Linked DNA regions of Arabidopsis thaliana. The protein of the gene in region 2 purifies or fractionates together with the protein of the main gene of each other region. This does not show direct contact. Each region holds a gene or a part of one and is shown on either strand. Other genes may lie near its edges.

Evidence for each region. Proteins that work in one complex are often made in the same cells at the same time.
Region 1: the proteins of CRR42 (region 2) and ndhI purify together in Arabidopsis thaliana (affinity purification with mass spectrometry, with the first as the bait; one study listed by BioGRID). This does not show direct contact.

Annotation. Positions count from the first base shown.
Region 1 is NC_000932.1:118,681-121,491, forward strand, and holds ndhI (NADH dehydrogenase subunit I), read right to left. Parts: upstream 1,083-2,811; coding exon 564-1,082; downstream 1-563. Other genes in the region: ndhG (NADH dehydrogenase subunit 6), read right to left, coding at 1-227; ndhA (NADH dehydrogenase subunit 1), read right to left, coding at 1,167-1,696, 2,777-2,811. UniProt on the Arabidopsis thaliana protein: NDH shuttles electrons from NAD(P)H:plastoquinone, via FMN and iron-sulfur (Fe-S) centers, to quinones in the photosynthetic chain and possibly in a chloroplast respiratory chain.
Region 2 is NC_003076.8:7,101,687-7,104,454, forward strand, and holds CRR42 (DUF3148 family protein), read left to right. Parts: upstream 1-1,697; 5' UTR 1,698-1,761; coding exon 1,762-2,012; coding exon of another isoform or gene 2,013-2,049; intron 2,050-2,144; coding exon 2,145-2,259; downstream 2,260-2,768. Other genes in the region: TSL (Protein kinase superfamily protein), read left to right, coding at 1-55, 136-346, 431-695, 793-847, 925-1,089, 1,189-1,284; AT5G20940 (Glycosyl hydrolase family protein), read right to left, coding at 2,390-2,768. UniProt on the Arabidopsis thaliana protein: Required for both formation and activity of the chloroplast NAD(P)H dehydrogenase (NDH) complex of the photosynthetic electron transport chain.

The sequences.
Region 1 (2,811 bases), on a different chromosome or scaffold from region 2:
AATATGATTAAAACATTTATGGCCCCCACATAAATAAGGAGTTGTGCAGCAGCTACAAAATGGGAATTTGATAGAATATACAATAAAGATATACAAACAAGAACAAATCCTAAGGAAAAGGCTGAAAATATTGGGTTGGGAAGTAATACCACTCCCAGACCCCCTACTAGAAGACCGGATCCCAGAAAAACTAAAAGAAAATCATGTATTGGTCCAGGCAAATCCATTATATTATTAAAATAAGAAAAAATCGAAATCCTTTTCATGACCTTATTAATTTAACCAGGAAATTTGTTTTTTATATGTTTCTAAATAGAGTGAAATTAGAATCTAATGGATATGAATTGATGTAGATACAATTATTAGTATTAGGCTGTTTTCTCTTTTTTTTTTTCTAAAGTGTATTTTCAACCTATCAATTTCAAGAAAGTAATTACGAATATATTATATTAAAAGAATGTGCCTTAATACTTAATATTATTATTATTATATAAATACAATACAAGTTTTTAATTAAATTCTTTATATAAATATAATTCAACAACTTGGAATTCTTTTTTTAATCAAATTAAAGGGTTTACCCCATTTTTTGTTTGAGGTGAATTCCAAATTGTTCGAATAGTGTAATCGTCAATTACTGACATTGGTAAACGACCCAAAGCTATTTGATTATAATTCAATTCGTGACGATCATAAGTGGAAAATTCATATTCTTCAGTCATTGACAAACAATTTGTTGGACAATACTCAACACAATTACCACAAAATATACAAATTCCAAAATCAATACTGTAATTAAGCAATCGTTTTTTTCGAATATTAGTTTCCAATTTCCAATCAACAACAGGCAAATCTATAGGACATACTCGAACACATACTTCACAAGCAATGCATTTATCAAATTCAAAATGGATTCGACCGCGGAAACGTTCCGATGTTATTAATTTTTCATAGGGATATTGAATAGTTACAGGTAAACGATTTGTGTGGGATAAGGTAATCATGAAACCTTGACCAATATACCTTGCAGCTCGTAGGGTTTGTTGACCATAATTCATGAACCCGGTTATCATAGGAAGCATATTGTAATTATCTCTGAATAATTTTATCTTTGTTTCTGTCTCTTGTTTAAAACAAATAATGAATATATTAGATTCATTTTAAATTTAGAGTGAAAAGAGTTGGAAAGAAGTGGTTAATAATAGATTACCAAGGGAAATAGGTAAAAGAAATTTCCATCCAAGATTTAATAGTTGATCCATTCTTAGCCTAGGTAAAGTCCATCTTGTTGCGATAGAAACGAACAAAAACAAATAAGTTTTAGCTAATGTAATAAAGATACCAATTGTTGTTCCAAAAATTTGATCCCTTTGAAATAGCTCCAGAATAGATATATACGGAATAGAAATATTCCAACCGCCTAAGTATAGAACTGTTACAAATAATGAGGAAATTAATAGATTTAGATAAGAAGCAACGTAAAATAAACCAAATTTTATACCTGAATATTCAGTTTGATAACCTGCTATTAATTCTTCTTCCGCTTCTGGTAAATCAAACGGTAACCTCTCGCATTCTGCTAGGGAAGAAATTAGAAAAATGATAAAACCTATAGGTTGACGCCACAAATTCCATCCCCAAAAACCATATTTTGATTGTGCCTCAACTATATCAACTGTACTTAAACTGTTAGATAATCCTAGTCGGCGAGAACATTACTATTTTCACCGCTATTTCAGAACCGTACATGAGGTCTTGGCCTCATACGGCTCCTCGGGGGCCATAAATAAATCTAAGGACCAGATTATAATTTAGATGGATATGATGTGTTCTAAAATGGATTAAATATATCTGGGGTCCCGAATTATACCAATGGAATTCTGTCTGCTCAAATTCTAAGAATAAAAAACGCGCTTCGGAATTCATCTCACCCCTTTACAAATTTGAATTTCTATTTGTTGAGTAATAACTTAACCCTTTAATAAAAAACTCCTAAAAAAAAAAAGTATTTAAGCCCATCGTGGTTTTCGATTACGAAAAATAATTAGACATCCTATTTTTTTATTATTCATGACAGAAATTCGATTTTATTTTCGAAATATATGAAAAAAAAAAGAGCCTTGTTTCGTTCCTATTCTTCTTTCTTTTTTAGAAAAAAGTTGGTAGACTTATAAAAAATAAAGGATTATTTCGTTTCTGATAGTCATTACATTTGTCGGTGGATAGGAGCATACTCTGAATCGGAATCTTGGGGAGTACTGTCTGATCATTTCTACTAATTTAAAGCCCCAATTAACCTTCTTTTTTTTATCTTATGTTAGGCCTAAATATCCTTTTCAATTTGGTTAATCTCTATTACAAATTCTTTGTGTATTTTGGTGTTTCTAACCATCCACTCACTTTTACCTAATTGCCGCTCACTTTGTAATACATGTATGTTAATCTATATAACTGATAGTGAAAACGTCATCCGGTTACCGGTTAATATATTTAACCCGCTTCAAGTCAGGATGACTAATCAACCAACCTTGGGGTAAAGTGATTCTTACACTTATGTTTATTTCCGTTTAACCTTTGTACATAGGAAATGAGACTCATTTTTCGTTTTACTGCAAATTTCAGAGCAGTTTTTTTTTCACTCATATATAACTATCAAATTCCTTTTATTAATTATTTCGATTAATTCGAAAGATAAATATATATTCCGTTTTTTAACTGATTCGTCTAGAAGAAACGGAATAGTAAAAATAAACGTTTCTGTTTCAACGAATCGCACGTAGAGATATTGATAAAACACATAGAGTTAATGGT
Region 2 (2,768 bases):
CCGCTATGCTCTTCTAAATCTTCTTGGTAAAGGCGGATTTAGTGAAGTCTATAAGGTCAGAACATTGATAGATACTACATTCTTTTACATGTGAGAATTATTTTGCAGTAATATGATGTTATGGATTTTAAGCAGGCATATGATTTGGTGGACCATAGATATGTTGCGTGCAAGCTTCATGGTTTAAATGCTCAGTGGAGTGAAGAAAAGAAGCAAAGTTACATCCGCCATGCCAACAGGGAATGTGAGATCCATAAAAGTCTTGTGCATCACCACATTGTTCGGCTTTGGGATAAATTTCATATCGACATGCATACATTCTGCACCGTTCTGGAATATTGTAGTGGTAAATCAGAATTCTCCTATTCCTTTGTAGATCCTGGAGTACAGTTCTGAGTTCTCACTCTTATGTTTTGAATTTCTAATGCAGGGAAAGACCTTGATGCTGTATTAAAGGCAACATCTAATCTTCCTGAGAAAGAAGCAAGGATTATCATTGTGCAAATAGTTCAAGGCCTTGTATATCTGAACAAAAAGTCACAGAAGATAATCCACTATGATCTGAAGCCTGGTAATGTTCTCTTTGATGAGTTTGGAGTAGCAAAAGTAACTGATTTTGGTCTAAGCAAGATAGTGGAGGACAATGTTGGTTCTCAAGGAATGGAGCTTACATCACAGGGAGCTGGAACATACTGGTGAGCAATCTAGTTTTTGTCTCCTTGATATGGTCTATATTATTTTTGTCTCTTCTACTTCCGGACATCTTATAGCTAACAAGGTTCTATAATATAGGTACTTGCCCCCAGAATGCTTTGAGCTTAACAAAACTCCTATGATCTCATCAAAGGTCAGTGATTGGTCAATGATGTCATAATCTGATTATCTTATAGAAGTTTTGTGGTACTAAATTGTGTTGAAACTCAGGTTGATGTATGGTCAGTTGGTGTTCTGTTTTACCAAATGCTGTTTGGAAAGCGACCTTTTGGACATGACCAAAGCCAAGAACGGATACTAAGAGAAGACACAATCATTAAAGCCAAAAAGGTTGAGTTCCCAGTAACAAGACCTGCCATCTCAAATGAAGCGAAGGTAAATTAACTGTACCGGTCTTAAACATGGTTTAAGTAAAGTAGTACCAAATAGTCATGAAACTGTCTCTCCATGTTCTCACTTTTGCATTTTCTGCAGGATTTGATTCGACGGTGTCTAACATATAACCAAGAAGATAGGCCGGATGTTCTAACAATGGCACAGGATCCATATCTTGCCTACTCTAAGAAGTGAGATTGTGTAGTCTTCAAAAACAAACCAGAGATGCTAAAAGACCAGATCCTAGAATATTTTTTGGTATAGCTTATAAAGTTTCTGTTTTGTTTGTCTAAATATTTTATCTCCCGGCCCCTTGAACCATATTAATTTCGGGTGAAGTTAATGTGTCTTGTCTTCCTTTTATTATGTAACATGTTATGTATATTCTTCATGTTTTATAATAGAAGAAAGCTGAAAGTTGGAAACAGGCCCCAAATCGTTCTTGCTTCTCAGGTTTAAGACAATATGAAATGTGATCAATTGAAGAAATAAGAAATATAACAAATCCGGCTGGAGAATACTGGACTGGAACTGAACTAAACCGAAGAGTAAACCAAGACAAAACCGAAGATTGAAAATCATTGGCTTGCTAGTAAACTACTACGAGACAAAAGTCTACTTATCCCCCCACTCATACCACTAAAAAACTCACACTTGCTGGCTTCTTCTTCCATGGCTTTATCTTTTGTTTCTTCAACTAGATTCTCCAAGATGCAATATGGCATATGGCACAGTGGATCCTTCACGCAACGAGTCAGTGTGAGATGCTGTGAAATCGCAAACGAGGCTCCACGACCAAAATCGAAGCTCCAAGTAGGATCACCGATCATCATCGTCGAAGCTCCCAAAGTTATAAAAACGGCCGCTTCAATGCCTTGCCTTAGGGCCAACTCTGGCTTGGTCAAGCCTGGCGATGTTGGAAGGTCTTCTTCTTCTTCTTCTATTTTATACAGATTTTAAGACAAAACTCAGACTAATCATCTAAACAGTGTTTTCTTGCCAATTAAATTAGCTTAATTTTACTTCTCTTCTTTCTTATCCTATTGTTTTTGCAGAATCGTGTCGAGAAAACCAAAGGACTTGTGGGCAGTTAGACTCTCCATTGGAACATATCTTTTAGATGGTAAATATTTCAAAGCTTTAGAGCTTGACGAAGGAGATAGTGATTGAGAATTTGAGATCATGTCTCTAAAATTGTATAAGCAACAGAAAAATACGAATTATTATTTTAACATTTTGCCATTTTAAGTTTTGGCGCAACAATCTTATTAATGAACCGAAATTACCGAATCGAAAACCGTTAATTTGGTTTAGTGATCAACCCGAATCCAAACGGGTACAACGGGTCGTAATGCGGGTCACCAACGTTCATCGGCAACTGATCCACTGTCTTAAACCACGTCCGAGCCAATTTCCCGGTGAATCCATAATCTCCGAACAAAACATCAGCCACTCCTTGACCTTCCGTTCCCGGAAGCCACGCCGCCACTAGAGCATCGATGTTCGAAATCTGCATCACCACCGGACGTCCCGATACAACCACCACCACACATTTCACCGATGCGCACACGTTCCCGATCGTGCTCGGACCTGGTTCCGATATGGTTAAGTTCGTACTGTCTCCGAATCCCTCCGCGTACGGTTTCTCTCCGACGGCCACGATTGCGTAATCGAAGTCA